Regions from separate parts of the Mus musculus genome. Here regions 1, 3, 4 and 5 are each reported to be linked to region 2. The links are microRNA targets in miRTarBase. Many come from high-throughput screens and were not tested one by one. Region 2 holds a microRNA gene; each other region holds the end of a gene's coding sequence.

The links. Region 2 holds the annotated microRNA mmu-miR-1264-3p (CAAAUCUUAUUUGAGCACCUGU, at 2,670-2,691, shown strand). A microRNA usually pairs through its seed, bases 2 to 8, with sites in the 3' UTR of a target mRNA and lowers its output. Matches are read on the target gene's strand: a 7mer-m8 pairs with bases 2 to 8, a 7mer-A1 pairs with bases 2 to 7 and ends in A, and an 8mer does both.
Region 1: miRTarBase lists Edem3 as a target of mmu-miR-1264-3p. Seed matches in the 3' UTR shown: 7mer-m8 at 2,076-2,082, 7mer-m8 at 1,326-1,332 and 8mer at 44-51.
Region 3: miRTarBase lists Trio as a target of mmu-miR-1264-3p. Seed matches in the 3' UTR shown: 8mer at 1,096-1,103.
Region 4: the mRNA of Steap3 is a reported target of mmu-miR-1264-3p. Seed matches in the 3' UTR shown: 7mer-m8 at 822-828.
Region 5: miRTarBase lists Tmem241 as a target of mmu-miR-1264-3p. Seed matches in the 3' UTR shown: 7mer-A1 at 1,360-1,366.

Annotation. Positions count from the first base shown.
Region 1 is chr1:151,818,151-151,821,150 of GRCm38, reverse strand. Edem3 (ER degradation enhancer, mannosidase alpha-like 3) reads right to left here. Exons shown (of 20, transcript NM_001039644.2): 20 at 1-2,841. The coding sequence ends at 2,438. Among named protein-coding and RNA genes, the nearest start is that of Edem3, 64 kb to the right of the region's middle.
Region 2 is chrX:147,007,986-147,011,873 of GRCm38, forward strand. It overlaps Mir1264 (microRNA 1264), which reads left to right and starts at 2,616; the gene lies at 2,616-2,701. All of the region lies in intron 2 of Htr2c (5-hydroxytryptamine (serotonin) receptor 2C), which reads left to right. It overlaps Mir1912 (microRNA 1912), which reads left to right and starts at 1,456; the gene lies at 1,456-1,542.
Region 3 is chr15:27,729,354-27,733,241 of GRCm38, reverse strand. Trio (triple functional domain (PTPRF interacting)) reads left to right here. Exons shown (of 57, transcript NM_001081302.1): 57 at 212-2,593. The coding sequence ends at 760. Among named protein-coding and RNA genes, the nearest start is that of Otulinl, 50 kb to the right of the region's middle.
Region 4 is chr1:120,224,387-120,228,274 of GRCm38, reverse strand. Steap3 (STEAP family member 3) reads left to right here. Exons shown (of 5, transcript NM_001379355.1): 5 at 347-1,861. The coding sequence ends at 628. Among named protein-coding and RNA genes, the nearest start is that of Steap3, 33 kb to the left of the region's middle.
Region 5 is chr18:11,980,930-11,984,801 of GRCm38, forward strand. It overlaps Tmem241 (transmembrane protein 241), which reads right to left. Exons shown (of 15, transcript NM_001289666.1): 15 at 374-2,664. The coding sequence ends at 2,601. Among named protein-coding and RNA genes, the nearest start is that of Gm41666, 34 kb to the left of the region's middle.

The DNA.
Region 1 (3,000 bases), not on the chromosome of region 2:
TCAGGTAATATCCGCACTTGATTCCAGGTTTGTAAACATTATATAAATCTTTCTTAGTCAAACAATTTTATGGCTGTGGTGATCATTTCAGCTCTATTTCTAAGCAGTCAACATTTAACTGAGGTAGACCAGATGTTTCTAAACTCAGGGTCTCAGAAGTCCCTGAATCTTCAGCAAGTAAATAAAATATCTATGAAAGGTTTTTAACAAACATCAACAACAATGAAAAAAAAATTTTTTAAAAATCTATGCTGTTGGAATTTCCTAGTGAACTCAAAAGACTACTTTGTGGCAGGCAGTATGTCAAATACAAAAATGGATGGAGACTCAGTTAGAATGTTGTGTTCTGACGCTGAACGTATTCCTCTTTTCTTAAGTAGGGGGAACTGAGTATTATTCCTTCTAGTTAGTAAGTAAAATGTCTTAAATTTATTTCTTTAAAGGATTTGGTTTTCCTAAACAAATCAATAGGTGCCTTAATGAAGGGCAACAGCTCCTCCTAGTGGCCAAAGGAATGTAAGTGGCAGTCGCTGGCTTTTCCTAATGTGCCATGGGCTCCCCTTCATGCCCTTAAGTTCTCAAAGGAAAAAAATATGCGGCTTTGATAACTTAGCAGAGTTTGATTTAGTCAACAATGGCTTTGAGCTACAAATACAAAATCAATCCATAGAAGGCTTCTGTAATCAAAGTCGCCAAGGAACATCTGTTCCCTTCCTCCAAGCCCCAGTCCTAGAAATCAAGTCAAGTAATTAAGCGTCAGCTATTTTGGCAGCTTTGCAATGAAATAAAACGAAGCACATCTCCCCTTCTGTATACTCTATGTATTACGGTTCTATCTTCTCACACCAAACTTCCCATGCAGAGAGACTAAAATACCCATGTTTGCTGTCAGGTTTAACTACGAGTTAATGAAGGCCTTGCCATGCTACCCCGGCCCCAAGGAATTCTCTAAGATTCATCACTCACTGACCAATCATTTATTTGGACCTTTTGAAAACAGGTATTTATTCCCTTATAAAAGGGCACGCTTACCTGGGACCTAAGACATGAACTTACACAACTACAGCACAGCACTGCTGTCATTCATGGCTCCATAGATAACCTAAGTCATTCAGTACCTCAAAACCACGTTGTAGAGAAAAGTTACTGTGTAATGCCATGGTAAAAAGGAATGAAGTCCCTCAAATATTCCTTTAGAAGCAATTAAAACAAGTTCAAAAATAAATAAAATGAATAAAACCATGATTTCAATGTAGAAGTATCAATAAGCAAAACCAAAAATAATTAAATGTGACCAGCTCCAGACTGCCACACACACCCCCAAAAAATCTTTTTCTTTTACTTATATGGCTATATAGTTTTTACACAGGTCACCAGAGACTAATTTTCAAGTCCACATTAGAAGGAAGGAGTATTTGTTAAAACAAAACAAAACAAACCTAAACCCATGATTTAACAGAAAATGTGACAGACTCCAGCTTCAAAGGAGAAAGACAGTAGTCACCCCGGGACTACAGTCTACTACCATGGTTTCTCATGGCTCTATAAGATAGGGAGATGGAGCAGGGCTTGGAGACGAGCCTTCCATCTCAAACTGCATACTAAAATGGATGGAGTAAGGCTGATGGTTAGAGGAACCACCTTAAGAGAAATGAACTAGAAAAGACTTCCAATCTACCCCACCAGGACCTAATGCTGAGTTCCATCTAGAGTAGTCATAGCTTCCCCCAACGGGAAGTTGATATTGCAACATTACAGTTTCTCCTTCTCTATTTACCCCGAGCAGTAAGCAACAAATTTCCACACTATCTACCGGACCCTCTCCATGGCCCCGTAGTAGGTCTTTACGGAGACCTATGGGAAAAGTACACTGGGCTCAGCTTTGGTTAAATGCTAAGGTCATTGTTGGGAGAGGAAAAGAAATCAAGTCGTCCTGGCCATTTGTCACTGATTGAAGCATGTAACAGCGATGCGCAGAAACTGTCATTGCCGTAAATGCATCTGCTTCAGAACCCGTAGGTCACTTAGAGAGTTCCTGTGAAGGCAGCAAAGCCGAGATGCCACAATACTCGCTCAAATCTTCCCCAAGCCCAAGGCAGTGAAGCTTTCTTCAATCAGAAAGCGACACTGACTCTGTTCCCAGGTTCCATTAGCTGAATTTGCTTCTTGTCTACCCAGGAGTGGGCAGTCATCTTTCCCTGGCCAGGGATACCGCCATCTGAGGGCTTGTGAGTCTCCACTTTGGATGGGGCAGTTTCAGTGGTCAGCTCTAACACAGCGTGCTCCAGGTTCCTATGGTGGCTACTTACCCCAGTCAGAACGCGCTTGAGCAATGCTCAGAGCCTCCCAGGAGAGCCTGCTTGGTACAGGGTGGGTGTCACAAACCACAGTTTACCTCTTCCTTTTAAATATCTACCACCAGAGTCTTTCCAGAGAGTCATAGTTCATCCTTCTCCATCATTTCAAATGCTTCTATGTCTTCATTCCAGTCTGCTAATATGGAGTCTATAGGCTGGGCCTTTGTACCCCAGCTGACATTAGGACTGGAATCTTCCTCAGTTTCTGATTGTTCTTGAACTTGGTTATCTAAGTCTGTACATTCACCATCAAGGCTTGTAGTCTCGTGGTTTTCGGTGGACCCAGATATCTGTTCAGAGGGGGCAAAGCCAGCAGCCTCTTCACTGTCCGATGGAGACGCCTCTGAGTGAGAATCTGCAGGGTGTTCAGGGCTCTCCTTATCAGCCAAGTCGACTGTCTGAGAAAGCGAGAGCATCTGCTCTGCGCTCTGATTCTGAGAATCATTTTCAGAAGATGGCTGGTCTTCATTTTCCATTTCGGGATCTGCACAGGAAAGAAGCAAACACATCACTCTCCCTCTTAAAAACTGCACCACATTTACAAAGTCACCTGGTTTCTGCAGTAAAATAAATAAAGCAGCCAATCAATGACAGCTGTGAGTGTGCTGGCAGTGAAAACCAGTGTCCCTCCCAATGGAAAGGA
Region 2 (3,888 bases):
TAACAAATCTTGGCTCTAAAAGAATACTAATACATCAACTAAGAAGCAAAGCATTGTAGTCTTCTATTTTCCCCAAATTGTTTCATTTAAATATAATCCATAGTTGGTCTTTAGAATGATAGGGACTAAACCAAAATATTTTTCAAACCCAAGTTCATTTTGCAGATCATTTAGCAAGTAAATATTAAGGCTCCTGGTGATGCTATGTTGAACATATTTATAAGATTCAAAAAACAACTCCACCAAACCATCAGTGAAGATTTGTTTACTTGTCTTAGCACACCATTCCATATTTACAACTGTGCAGTATTTAGGGCTCAGCGATAGGACCTCAGGCATTTTCCTTTCCCCAGCCATAGTAATTCACACCCAGTTTGAAGTCACATGCTCTTGATGTTCTCTTTGTAACAGTATTATTTCAGTTGCCTAGATGCTCCTCATTCTTTAAGTCCCAGGTTATGTGTGACTGTTTCATTAATCTCCCATGATACATACACCAGCAACCCTCACTATTTAAACTCTGTCTCTTATTTTACTTGGCTCTGTTGTATTTTTACAGCATTATTCTTCTGCAATTATCTTGTGCATTTGTTCACTTCCTTATTAACTCTCTCCCTGTCCTGCCTATTTATTCTAAATTTGATTGTAGCCAGGACTTTAGTTGTTTCCAGACAACTGCATTGCAAGAAACTTGTTCATTAAAAAAAAAAATAGGTAATTAGTCATCACATAGCTACTCCATAAAGTCTAACATTTAATTCAGGGTCATGGAACTGAAAAATAACATAAAAGTTGTTGGGAACATTTCAGGAAAAAAAAACAGCACAAAAAATATTAAAAAACAAGACCTATGAGGAAAATACGTTGATTCAGGTAAGACCAAGAACCAGTTTTACTTAACTTTTTATAATTGACAGAGATCTTTGACCTATTAAAGTCTTTTATCTTTTGAAAAAAAAATAGCAAATTTAGTTACTGATGTCCCTGTTTAATAGGTATAAACTGAGACCCAGAGATTGAACTAATTTGTACAAATTCAGAGAAATATAACATGTAATCCAGGTTTTCCTTCTTCCTATGTCCAATATTTTTTTTTCTCATAAAACCATCTATCTACAGGATCACTAACCAGAGTAGGGAATTTAGTTTGGATGTAGTGAACAATGACCTTTTCTATTTGAGTTTATAAATTTTTATGTTATCTCAGGAGGTTCTCAAATATCAACCTTTATTTGTGGTAGCTATTTGTTTTCTTTATATGGTTTGAAAGAGTATGTAGTGCAATGGTAGAGGGTGACAGATTGCTAATCTATTGGTTCTTCAATTTCCAATATTCCATAATTCTTTGGTTAAGTTTTCCACTTTGCCAACTAATATTTCAAATATACTTAATATTTTTTAACTTAACAAGCTGATGACCCCTTAACAACTATTGAACTACATATCACAAGCATATTAGTCTCTAGGATGTGCTCATTGCATGGGCTGTGTAGATTTTTATTTAATACACAGAACATGCAGTGAGAACTTGATAGAGATTGGAAGACATCCAGAAGAATAAACCACGAATTCTTATAGGATAACTTTGTATTTGGTACAGATTAATTAACTAACCATCCATTTAAAGGTTTTTACTAATCCTGTCTCCAAACACCACAACCTAGATTCAAAAACACACTACTTGAACTTCCATATTGATTCTATTTTTATTTGTTACTTGATATTCTTCTTTACATAGATTGTTAAAATTTCACACAGAGTCAAAGTTAGCTTTTTAGTAGAATTATAAACAATAATTCAGATGCTAGAGAAATGGCTTAGCAGTTAGGAGTACTTGTTGCTCTGGCAGAGGACCAAGGTTCAATTCCCAGCACCCAAAATTTGGTTTACAAGTGTTTTTTAACTCCACCTTCAGTGAATCTAACACCCTCTGATGGCCTCCTTGGGCACTGCATGCATGTGGTGCACTTATATACGCAGGCAAAGCATTCACATGCATCAAAGTAAAAGAAAGACAATTTCCTCAAATATCCCATTGATTCAACAACATAAAACTTTTGTTTCAAATATATTATGACCATGTGTCAAAAATTACATTGATGACACATTAGATGCAGATGTTTTACATTATTAATGGGATATTAATAAATATGTCACCTGATGCTCACCTCATTCTTACATTTGAAACTTATTATTGAAAATATTCTGAATAGATATATGTCATTCATTTTAAATAGAAGACTTTTCTAGAGTAGTAGAATGATTTAGCTTGATTTGAAAGCATAGCAATCCTTGCACATTTAATACTTATAATTAAAACGTACTTGTTCTTGTTTTGGCATCTCCTTGTTTATGTAAGGAAGCAAAGCCAAACTAAATATGTATTAAAAAGTCTAATTGAAGAGCCAGAATAAAACACATTATAGGTCAGAAACACAACAGCTCTATATTTAGATACAACTAAGAACAAAGTAGAGATAAAAGGAGGTTTATAAAGAAAATGATTTAGTAATTACTTTTTAGAAATATTGAAACTTCTATGTCATATTGAAAAATATGGTCGAACTTTTTAAAGACAATGTCAGGATACATAGAACACGTTATATTTCTTCATGCCTGGCATATAGCAGGTCCTCAATAAGTATTTGTTGAAAAAATAAATGAAGCAACAAATCTTATTTGAGCACCTGTTATGTGGAGGATAAAAAACTACAAACCAAACAGAGCTTGTGATCTTATATGGGAGAGAATGAATATAAGGTAAATGTACAAATGACTATCATTTTTGAAACTGTAATAATATCAAATACATCTTTTAAAAAGATCACAGATGCGCAGTTCATGTCCCATTATCAAAGAATTTAGAGACTTGAACCTGGGACTTATATGAAGTATGGGAGCAAAAGCATTTCTTGTAGAAATTTAAGTATTTATAAAAAGGAATACTAAATCAGTAATCTTACAAGGGTCAATAAATTAAAATAGAACTTCCTGGATCACCATAAAACCTTTTCATAACCATTTTTCTTAATGTCTTCAGCATATTACATTAACATAGTATGAAATAATGTGAGTTCCTTAAAGGCTTTGTGCCTCTTAGTTCTTTTTTACTTACATGTATTATCTATCATTTATAATAAAACTTATCCAAAAGGTTTTTATCCATTATTTATAGTAAATCGTATCCAGAATGTTTTTAAGTACCTTGTCCATCATTTTACTACTTTTCAGGTTTAATTTCTAGCCAGTTACTTGAAAGTAATTTGAATATGAAAATAGCATTTGTTGTTTCTAATTTTAAAATTCCACTGGAGATAGGACAATAGATAATGTATTTTAACCGAACACCTTTCCTGAGAAGATCAAGGAATAAAATGTTTTACATTTGAATTGCTCCTATGACATCTTTGTAAGGTATAGCTGTTATTGTTGATTTTATCGGACTAGAGGTATACATTAGGAAAAACAAATTGGTTAGTCTACTTTATGAATGATGTAAAGACCACTTTGAATATAAACTAGTATTGTTATCAATTTTCATGAAGGATGCCCTCAATCTCTTTTTCTATTTATTTGTTGATTTTTCTACTGAGAGTTTTGCTGTTGGTTTGGTTGGTTGATTGAGATTGTTTGTAACAAGATACCCAATAGCCTAGTCTGGTCTTAAACTGACTATGAAGCAGAAGATGACCCAGAAATTCTGGTCCTCCTGCTTAAAGGTATGCACCACAATATCTGGCTCCACAACAGTCTCATTTATGAGACAGGAACTAGATATACCTGCCCTTCTCTTCATTTTCCTCCTTTAATTTCTCCTCGCTTTTTCCTTTCATTTTCATTCTATGTACAAAAATTATGCAGATGTTATTCACTGTTCTGTATTCAATT
Region 3 (3,888 bases), not on the chromosome of region 2:
CAGTGTTGAGCTAGGCTATTTGGACCCTAAAGCTGAGAGCCACTCCTAGGGGGCTGTTCCTCTCCAGCTTGTTCCCTCACTGGTCCAAAGAACTTCCTTTGGGTGACAGTTGTGTGGCTAACTTCTGCCTCTCCAGAGGATCCTGACAGTGGTCAGATTGAGCATGGATTAGGGATGTTTGCCAATGACGGTGTCTCCTCCTACATTCTAGCCTGAGAATATCTTGGTGGATCAGAGTTTGGCCAAGCCAACCATTAAACTGGCTGACTTTGGAGACGCTGTCCAGCTCAACACCACCTACTACATCCACCAGTTGCTGGGGAACCCCGAGTTTGCAGCCCCGGAAATCATTCTTGGGAACCCTGTCTCCCTGACCGCGGACACATGGAGTGTTGGGGTGCTCACCTACGTGCTGCTCAGCGGCGTGTCCCCCTTCCTGGATGACAGCGTGGAAGAGACCTGCCTGAATATTTGCCGGCTGGACTTTAGCTTCCCAGAGGACTACTTTCAAGGAGTTAGCCAGAAGGCCAAAGAATTCGTGTGCTTCCTCCTACAGGAGGACCCCGCCAAGCGTCCCTCGGCTGCACTGGCCCTGCAGGAACAGTGGCTGCAGGCAGGCAACGGCAGCGGCAAAGGCACGGGCGTCCTCGACACGTCCAGACTGACCTCCTTCATTGAGCGGCGCAAACACCAGAATGATGTTCGACCTATCCGTAGCATTAAAAACTTCTTACAGAGCAGGCTTCTGCCTAGAGTTTGACCTATCTTGAAGTTCTTTCTCATTCTCTTTCACCTGCCAATCAGCTGTTAATTTGAATTTTTGAAGAGGAAACCAAACCAAAACTAAGTGGCCGGCCGCCGGCTGTTCATCGTGTGAAATGGCATTCCAAGTGAGCTGTGCTCAACAGCGCTTGGGCTCAGAGCTGCAAGGTGCGCTGGGGTGGAGGACCTTCAGTTACACTCTGCATGGGCAGAGACCGCATTGCTGGATCACAGTATTTTATTCAGGTTCCTGCAAAAATAATAATAATAATAATAAAAAAGAGATACTTTTTTTAATGAACATGGATAGAATTTTGCAAATTTAACATTTTCAAGATTTATTCAAAAAAAAAAAAAAACACATGCCTATGTTCAAACCACTGGTGTTACACAGAACTGAGAAACTGTGCATTTCTGGGAGAGACTCGCCAGGTGGCAGCCACTCCCATGGGCTCAGCCAGTGCTTGGTGTCCACCTGGCACCGAGCTTTTCCAGCTGCCTCGTCTGGGTACATCCTGCCGGGCACCAGACTTGGCTTCTGAGATGTGTGTTCAACCTCAATCTTTTGCATAAAATATAATGAATGGTTTTGCTCTGATGAAATGTAGGCCTTACTTGTACATAAGACTCTTCCTGCCTTTTGTCTGGCAATCCCCCACCCCTTCCCCTCCTACCCACCGCCTGGGCCTTCCTCTCGGGGGGTCTGATGGGGTCTGTCCATCCAATGGAGACTTGAGGCTGGGTCCAGCCCCACTGCCCCCTCCCCAGCCCCACCACCCCAAACCGTCAATCAGATTGTTGAACGGTATACAGTCAGATGAAAATACTGTAAATGCACTCATTGGGGTTTTGTTTGTTTTGGTTTTTTTGTTTGTTTTGGTTTTTGTTGTTTTTATTTCATACCATGTGCAATGTTGTGGCTTTAACATTTTCTGCAACTATTTATGAAGACTTCTGTTATACATGTAATAAATATATAGAAAAAGCACATACTTCGCAAGTGAGCTTTATGGTTCTGTGTGTGTTGGGGGTGGGTCGTAGCCCTGTGCCATCCGTCAAGGACACTTAACTCTTCGTGAAATTTGTCAGTTTTGAGGACTGTAAAAAGTGATTTCATACTCTGAATATAAAACTGGATAATAGGGTAATGTTTTAAATTTTATTATGCTATTATTCAGAATGCCAAAGTATTATTTTTTTCCCAGAATCAGTCTGAACATTTACTACTTTTTAGACTTTTTGACATTCAACTTTCTGTATAAAAATTGGCTGGATTTTAAGCTTTTGGTAAGAAAGCCAATTAAGTACTGGCCACCCTGAGGCTGGTACGCAGTGCCCGAGTCACTGTGGCGGAGCTGGCGCTGGGGTGGGAAGTCCTTCAACACAAGAAGTTGGATTTCTGGCAAGCTTGGATTTTTCTGGATGTCTTTTTATCTTTATTGTGTGAAATACACTTAAAAAAGAGACCAGCTTGCTTCCCAAGCCAGACAGACATCTGGGTCGTGAGCCATAAACTGGCATAATTAAGCTTTGCAGTTTCCGGTGTATTTATTTATTCTTCTGTTGGGTTTTTTTGTTTGTTTGTTTCTTGTAAAATTGTACAGAAACTTTTTAAGAGAAATTGGATTCAAAAACTGGATGTGTATCTGTAACCTCATAACTTTTATTTGTGTACTGTTTTCTTTGATTATTTCAGTTAAAACTTTTACATTATTTTTTTGCATGTATATTTCTTTGTACAGAGACCGTACATGTTTACACAGTATGATGTGATGTAAATATTTTATTTTGCCATCAGTTATTTTAAAAAATTAAACATATTTGCCTGATACTGGTGTTAGGCTTTTTATTTAAATTAATCACTGCTGAATTAGAGCGGTCCCTGAGAGAGGCATGGCAGGGGGTGGTGTTTAGGGGTGAGAGGGGGATTGCCGCGGCCTAGTTGAGCTGGTTCAGGCTTGTGATGCAGGGTGATCAGGCATAGCCCGCATACTGCTAGTGTGTAACAGCACACTGGCTGTCTTTTGGTAATGGGGCCTTAGCTCATCCTGATCCTGGGGACCCTGTTTTCCTGATGAAGAGCATTTCATTCTGGCCTCAGAAAAACAGAAGTATTGCCGCTTCCACCCTGCAGGGCCCACCTTTTCCCAGAACACTTCCAGCCCCCCCCCCCCCACACACACACACACACACACTGACGCTCTGGGTCACTGCAGAGTGGGCTGTGTCAACTCTCCTCACTGCTGTCCAACCCACAGGTCTCTCTCCCTGATCACCAATACCATCTCTCAGTTATTTTGGGGTTTTCTTCTGGGATGTCAGCTTGTGTCCGTGTGCTGAATGAAGGATACAGAAAAGGCCTGTGGCAAGATTGGTTTGTCATGATTTCAAGGATTTCCACCCCCCCTCAAGAATATCAAGATGCTTGTCTTTCTTTACAAATCTTTTCAGCCCACAGCTACACTTTATCTGTGAGGTGTGTAGGATCACCAGGATTTTGGCAGAATGTGTCATGATAACGTCTTGTAGCAAGTGTTCATTTAAAAGGCATTATACAGGCCAGGCGTGATGGCCCACGCCTTTAATCCCAGCACTTGGGAGGCAGAGGCAGGCGGATTTCTGAGTTTGAGGCTAGCCTGGTCTACAATGTGAGTTTCAGGACAGCCAGGGCTACACAGAGAAACCCTGTCTCGAAAAATCAAAAAAAAAAAAAAAAAAAGGCATTATACCACCTTTGGACACTAGGAAAAAAGATGCTACTTGTTCATATATGTCTGAGACCTAATGGGGAGGTGGAAATGATTTTTGAAACCAGTAGAGTCCTTCCCAAATTTACCTATATAATTAGATCTCTTTACATTATATTAATATTGAGTATATATAGCATTATATATAATGTACACTAAACTATATCAATTGTCTATCCGCACATGAAATTGTTATGCAAAAATATGCCGCCCCCCCCCCCGAAAAAATAATCCCTCTCTGCCAGCAGGTATCTCTGTTCTGAGTTCTGTCTTCCGTAGATGAACTTGCCTTGGGATTTCATGTATGTAGTCATTCATGGGAATAACTACATAAAGTGACCTGGGCACTGTCATATCTTAGGTCATTCTGGCTTATGCA
Region 4 (3,888 bases), not on the chromosome of region 2:
TGCATGAAGCCCTGGATTCTCTTCCCAACAGAGCACTTGTGAGACAGAGGTAGAAAGATGAGGAGGTCAAGGTCATCCTTAGCTACATACTGAGTTTGAGGGTAGACTAGAAGAGGAGACGCCCTGTCAAGAAGTAGGGGAGGGGATGGTGGCCAGGGCCAGCAAGATGATTCAGTGGTCAAGGCAGTTGCTGCCAACCCTGACAACCTGAAGTTCATTCCTGGGACTTACATGGGAAAATGAGAAGATCGACTCCTCCAAGTTGGCACAGGGAGCTGGGATTTGACCCAGAGATGCCCTGGGCTCAGGGGCCGTCCTCTCATTCCTGCCTTCTCTCTTTCCACAGTCCACACTGGGCTTCGTGGCCCTGATACTCAGCACAATGCACACACTCACCTACGGCTGGACCCGTGCCTTTGAGGAAAACCACTACAAGTTCTACCTGCCGCCCACATTCACACTCACGCTGCTCCTGCCCTGTGTGATCATCCTGGCCAAGGGCCTCTTCCTCCTGCCCTGCCTCAACCGCAGACTCACCAAGATACGCAGGGGCTGGGAGAAAGATGGGGCTGTCAAGTTCATGCTGCCCGGCGACCACACACAGGGGGAGAAAACAAGCCACGTGTGAGGCCCTGGAAGTGGAGATGGCTTGTGGGGGCCCTGAGCTGGGTTCGGGTCTCTTTTCTGGATGCTGCACAGCGAGGTGATGATATATGCGTGGGTGGCTGAGATCCTAATTCCTGGGATGCAGGTGTAAACTGACATACTCAGAATGACACCCCATACATGTGATATGTACTTACATATATTTCACATATAATAAGATTTGCTATTATTCTTACTTAGCTAAAAAAAAAAAGTGGGTCCCTATATTTCAGCGTAAGCATTTCAAAGCAAATGCCACACATTGAACAGCAGATCCCACCCTTGTGGTATCTACAGAGGCAGACAGACACTCTGGTATAGGAGAAACTGTCTTTCGTTGGATTCTCTCCTTTAATCTCTATGCTCCTTATTAGCTGAATCCTAAAGTTGGTGCAAAGCTGGGGCAAGAAATGCCTCTGGTGCCGCCTACCCCCATCCCAGGGCTAAGAAAGAAGCCTCGAGTGAACAGGGAACCAGGTCTGGACTCTGCTGCTTCCCTGGGCGTGCGTGGGGAGGCTCAGCAAGACCCCCTGGGATCTATGCAGGAGCTTTTTCAGGTCCGTCCTTTCTTCAGGGAAGGGTCTGAAGCTGCCCCATCTGATCCTAGCTGAGCTGAGAAGATTCTTCCCCACCCCCTGAAAGTCCAGAGTCACCACCGGAGCCTGCAAATTGATCCTTCTGCGAAGGTGTGAAGTCACCGCCTCTCCAGAGCCATTAATGAACCTGGTCTTCGGGAGGAGGATAATTGTTTCCTCTCCATTAAGTTGCTGGTGACCCCCCCTTTAAATCACTGTGCCTTCTCGCCTTTTCCATCATTAATTTGGACATCTCCGTGGAGTGGACACTTGTCTGGGCAGTCCGGGGTGGGGGGGAGCATTAGAGATTGCAGAGAATAACCATCGAATCCTCTTCTTGGGGCAACCCTCCCCTTGGATGTGCCCCAGGCCTGCCTTCATTAAATTGGTCCCTGAGGAGAATAATAGGGACCCTTTTCATTTACCCTGTCGCCTGTAGGCAGAAAACCTACCTTCTGAGCACCCAGAAAACACAGTGGCCCCATGCTCTTCTTCAGGGGGTTCCACAGCCCCCTTCCCCGTGTTTTTGCCTCCCTCCCTCCTTCCTCCCCTCCCTCCCTCCCTCACTGTTACGTTCAACCACAAAAGTCTTCAAATATTGTTTTTTTGAATTCTTAAAGAGACCTCATTTTATTACAATAGTTAAAATTGTCCTTTGTTTATTATTCTTATTAAGCTTTCCTGGGCCTGGTTTATTAATTAGACTTAATCACAGGCGTGTATAGGAGAAATGTAACATATGCTTGTGTGTGTGTGTGTGTGTGTGTGCTCGCACACGTGCGCACACTCCCACATGTGTTTTGATTATCTACAGTCTCAGGAATCCTGAGACTGCTTTATAATTCAAAACAACTGGGAGTGGCTTTTCTGCCAAAGCTACAAGTGTCAAGCTTTACTGCCCCAAACACAGAGGGCCAGACCATTGTCAGGGCATGGCGCATCTATCCTCCCAGCCCTGTGACGTCCATCTATGAGGAAAGAGTTAGGAAAGAGCCAGTCCCCTAAATCCTGCGGAGCTTGAGTGATCTATCATTCCATAAGAGAGATCCTGTTGACTCCCCTGGGCCAGGAAGCATCTTTTGACACAGGGAAGGAAGACGTACTTGGCCAAAGTACCCAGGATGAGATGTCCTTCTTCCCACCAGGGAGGGTGTCACAAGGGTCCTTAAGTGAAAAGGGGACAAGAGCCCAGTGCAAAACCCTTTTGTTATTGGGCAGAGGTGTCACACTGGAGAGTCTGGCTGCTTCTTGAAAGTATGACAGCCAATATTTCATGCTAGAAACAGGGCCTACGACCTGAACTGGTGCCAGCTATGGCCCACAGAGAGGACCACTGGAGGCAAAGCAGAGATCCCAGCATAACAGGGACCAATGAATTCCCTGCTGACTGCAAGCAGGAAGAACATTGAAAATCACAAGTAGTCCCAGCTGGTGGGGATCTACTGCCTTCTCCATCTTTCTCTGGAGGGAGACAGTTCCTTGCAGCAAAGGTACCCACTGTAGCAGAGATACCCACTGTAGCAGGGGTACCCACTGTAGCAGAGGTACCCACTGTAGCAGGGGTACCCACTGTAGCAGAGGTACCCACTGTAGCAAGGGTACCCACTGTAGCAGAGGTGCCCACTGTAGCAGAGGTGCCCACTTTAGCAAGGATACCCACGGTGGGAACAAGACAAGTTCCTTTCCTTGCCTTGTTGCTGTCACAGCTGCTTATCAGATGGGCAGTGGGTACTTGTCAATCAGCTCATAGGTGGCAGGTGATCTTGCATCTGTCCCTGTTTCTCCCCATCTCCCCGGGCAGTCAGCAGCTTCAAGGAGACTGGTCACTCTAAGCCTGGTAAAGTCCCAGAGTACCCCAGCCCAGTGATCTAGAGATGAAATGCCACAGCCTGCAGTGGACTTGCAAAGTCTCTCTATGGTGGACACAGTTCCTGTCTCATCTCTCAGAATCGACAGCACAGAGCCATGTGAACGCCAGGCTTTCCTTTCTGGCAACAGGACCACACGGGCAATGGTTCCTTTGTGCCTGGAGCCTGTGCTCACTCGGCCATACATTAGATGATAGGGATGCCAAGGTGAACATTAATCTGCACCAGAGGTGGCCACTGAGGAATGGCAGGTGTGCAGAGGAATGACAAGCCAATGATGGAGCGGGCAAGGTCCCCACAACACAGTCTGGGTTGTAAAACACAAGGTGCCTGAGGAATGGTAGTCAGAGTTGTCTGCCACCCTGCACACACATATACGAAAAACTGCATATTTCCTGGGAAGCATATAAAGTGTTGGGTGTTGGTCTCAAAAAGTTCTACAATTTCAGATAGTTTATCTCTGCTGAGTTACATCTCCAACGGTTGCAGAGAGCTTCTGCTCCGCACACAGTGGAAACTTGGATACCCTGGCCATTCCAACCTCCCCTCGGACACAGTGGACATGTGAAGCTTCCCTCCCCTCCCATGAGGTGAATAACGAGGCCCTGCTTACCAAGCGCTGGTTTTGTTTACTGGACTAGAAACCTGGCTTGTTTCTGCAAGTTCCCGTTGTAAGCAGAGACTGGTTTTCAAAACACTTAGTCAATCGCGAAATATGTCCCACCCATCAGACTTCTACTTCCAAAGGATCTATCCTGCTAAATCCAGTCTCTGGACTGAAAATATACTTTTTATTTGTT
Region 5 (3,872 bases), not on the chromosome of region 2:
GCCTTTTAAGTTCAGTACTGGGAGACAAAGGCAGGCTAGTTCAAGGCTAGCCTGGCCTACACATCTAGTAGGACAGCCAGGGCTACATAATAGAGACCCTGCCTCAAACAAACAAACAAACATACATACATTTGGAGTTGGTAAGAACTCAGAATTGAGTAGGCATGACAGCATGAGGTCTGTGGATACCTTAGAAGCCTGGGCCCAGGTACTCACAGCAGAGCTCAGAGCTCAGTAATGGGAGGCCTTCATGCATCCCTGGGTTTACTGAACTTTCAGAGCTGAGCATGAGGAGGGGGGATGAAAGATGGTGGCCACACCTTAAAGAAAGAAGCTCCGAACACAGATGGAAACTGAGTACACAGGTCAGTGCACTGAAGGAGCAACTGGTCCCATCATCTTACCTTCTCAGCACACAACAAAAACACCCGAGAGAGACTCAGGAACAATGGAACTCAATGTGGTTGAAAAACAAAGCACTAGCTGCTAGACATCTTTACAGCCAAAGTGTCTGAAACTTCTCAGTAAAACTTCTCAGTAAAGGTTCTTCCTGCTAGAGATGGCGCTGGGATTAGTAGCTGTGTGGTTCTCTCCACCTGAGGACTCTCCATTGCTTAAATGACATTTAGGACAGGCACAGGATGACATCTGGACAGATACCACTTTTGCAAAAGTGGGGTCAGGGGAAAGGGAGCAGTAGAAAGTTTTGTGGGTATTAAAAAAAAGGAAAATTCTAAGCTCAGAGTCTCTATTTGCTCTATAGGACATTCCTATCTACTTACTGGTTTGCTATACTAGATGAAGAACAACAGCGAGTGCTCAGCTAGAGAGACACGCTCAGTTAAGACCATGCAATGTTCCTATAGAGGACCAGAGTTTGTCTCCCAGAACCCACACTGGGCAGCTCATAACTTCCTGTAATTCCAACTCCAGGGGACCCAATATTCTCCTCTGGCCTCCCTGGGGCACCTGCACTCATTATGCACATGCTTATAAACATACAGACAATTTAAATACAAATATTTTTAAAAAGCAAATTACAGGGCAGGAGAGTCGAGTTAGCTCAGCAGTTAAGATCACTTTTGCAGAGCATGAGTTCAATTCACAGCAGTCACGTGGCAGCTCACTATCTGTAACTCCAGTTTCTGTAGAGCTGATGGCCTCTTCTGACCTTCACAGGTACCAGGCACACATGTGGTATACAATACACATAAAATAATAGAATAAATAAATGTAAAAATATTCTAAGACAGCAAATTGAAAAGTACACAGGCATCAAGTCTTGGAACATTTTCACCTTAAATGATGAGCAGAGATCAGGAAAGGACAGGAATTAAAGGTCCTCACATTCTATATACATAAATCTATCCTCCTGTTTCATTCTGTTTGCCAACAAGTTGGGGAAAAAATGTAGCAACAATGAGCTGCTCTCATTCATCCTGGATCTGAGCCTGCAACAAGGAGCAATCCTCATAGCCCAGAGGGTCTCTGTGGGTCAATGGCACGGGTCTCCTACACTGGAAGGCTGATGAAGTAAGCTCAGTACGGCCAAAACCACCGAAGACTTGGAACAACAACCAAGTTCTGTGACACCAATGAGAAGAAAATCTAGCATTATTTTCTTAAGCCTTGCTGGCTTCAGAATCAAGTGAATATTTTATATAGTGGTTTATTCTCTAGAGCTATGGGACTTTAATTTTTATAATTTGGTGTAAGAGATAAAATCCAGTGCTCAATGACTTGAGATCTCTTCTGAGTTATGAAGGAATCACACATAGTAAAGACTTTAGGGAACACACACTAAGCATAAAATAGCTAGTGCCTGCGATCTCAGCACTCAGGAGGCTAAGGCAGAAGGTGTGGTATTTAAGGCCCACCTGAACTACAGAATACTTCAAAGACTTCAGGTAATCGATTAGTTATCAGCTTAATCTACCCATGTTCAATGGTCTACAGATTCAACACATCCTGACAAACTCAAAAGAACAAGAGAAAATTAGAGGCTGGAACTACATCAGCATAACCACAAAGGCTGCCACTCACTCCAAGCTAAGGATCTTCGCTGGGGTTTCACTTGGTCCAGCGCCCCTGATCAACCCCACACCTGCCCTGTCCCACATGTCATAACATACATGTCTTGTTTTGTGTGGGAAGGCATGGGCTCCAGAAAAATCAAAGGGTATAAGAGACTCCAAGATGTAAAGACACAAAACAACTCCCCAAAATGCAACAAGATTCCATGGACTGTGACATCAATTCCAAAGCAGTAACTGGTAGGACACAGCCATCCCATTAAGACCCTCTGCTTCTTGATCCCGCAGAACTGGGTGCAGCAGAGAGGAGATGGTTCAGCATATAAGACGGACCCATTCTCTGCAGCGGTCCCTGGGAAGTCCCCCTAATAATAAGAAAGTGGGCTGTTGCAATCATCAGCCATCCATGTGTTCAACTTGGCTGGGGCATGTGCAGCTCACAGCTTTGCCCAGCTGGAAACCTCAGCATGGTCTCACTGTAATGTGGTCTTTTTATAGCTCTCAAGAGGGAGGCCAGGGGCTGTGTCCTCCAGCAGCAAGCTGCAGGCTGCCTTTTCTTGTCCATCTTCATGAGGAACTCCTCCGCTCTGAGAAAACCAGCAGGGCCTCGCCAAGTCCACCAAGCAGGAAGCTGCAAACAGTAGCATATGGTCAACTTTCCTCACCCTGCAGGCTGGCACCTATAAACAACATAGAAGAGTGAGGCGCTCCACCACGACCAGCCCAGGCAAGCCTGGGTCAAGGTATAGCCCAGAAGCCATCACATCACTAAAGGGAAACCATCAGTCACTGGGCGGGAAGTGACGGGTGTGGGCTCCTTAGGGAAGGGCGGGTGTCCCACATATCCTGACCAGGTTAACACTCTGAAGGAAAAAGCACGGGAAGAACGTCCCATGACCCCTTGGGGGCTTCTGGCTAAAGGGAATTGTGGAATATGAAATTGTACAGACGCAACCTTTTAATTAAGAAGGGTGTGGCTTCTAATAGACTAACAGAGCATTTAAAGGTGAGCACAGAAATGGGAGTCATACATTTCCCACTAACACAGAAAGAAATGTGGTGGGCGATTTGAAAATTAAGATGTGAGAACTGCAGCCGGGGAGAAGATATTAGATACTTTAACATTTCTAAAATACAATGCACCCAGAGGCCTTTCCATCCTCTGTTTTAAACTTCTTGGTAGACAGTCTGGTGCCTGTTGTGTTTCTGGGGACTGGGCTGGATCGCTGCTAAGGGTTTATGATGGCAGGTCCCTGTCAGTGAAAGTTTTTTCCAGAAGTGACGACCACCCTTTGGTTAGACTCTCTCTTCCCTTCCTCTGCCCACCCACCTAATACCCCAGTTCTCTTATGCAAACTCAGCACACATACACTCAACATTGGTATCTCTGTCTTTCTAATGCATCTGAGATGCTGAATATATGAAACACCCGTATCACCTTCCCAGTAAAAACCTATATAGAAATGCTGACATTCAGGTGATTTGTACCACTCTGTTCTTTAGTCCAAGAATGAACTAAGTATGAGCATGTGAACGAAATAAACTTAAAATCTGTCAGGAGTTCAGATCTATGCAGCCTTTGTTTCCTTCCTGGAAGTGACCACAAGTCCCAGTGTGTATGAGGCTTACATAGAACATATCTGAAGCCACCTGTGCTTGGCCTATAATGGAGTCCCCACAAATACATGACTATTCCCTAACCAGACGAGCTTCTAGAGAAACATGTCTGCCTCAGTAGCAGTGGGCTGGCTACTCACCCTCTGCCTGAAGGAAACGAAATCACTCACTTTATTTAACTTGCAGCAGGGATGTTGCTGGAATTGGTGACTTAGGAACCAT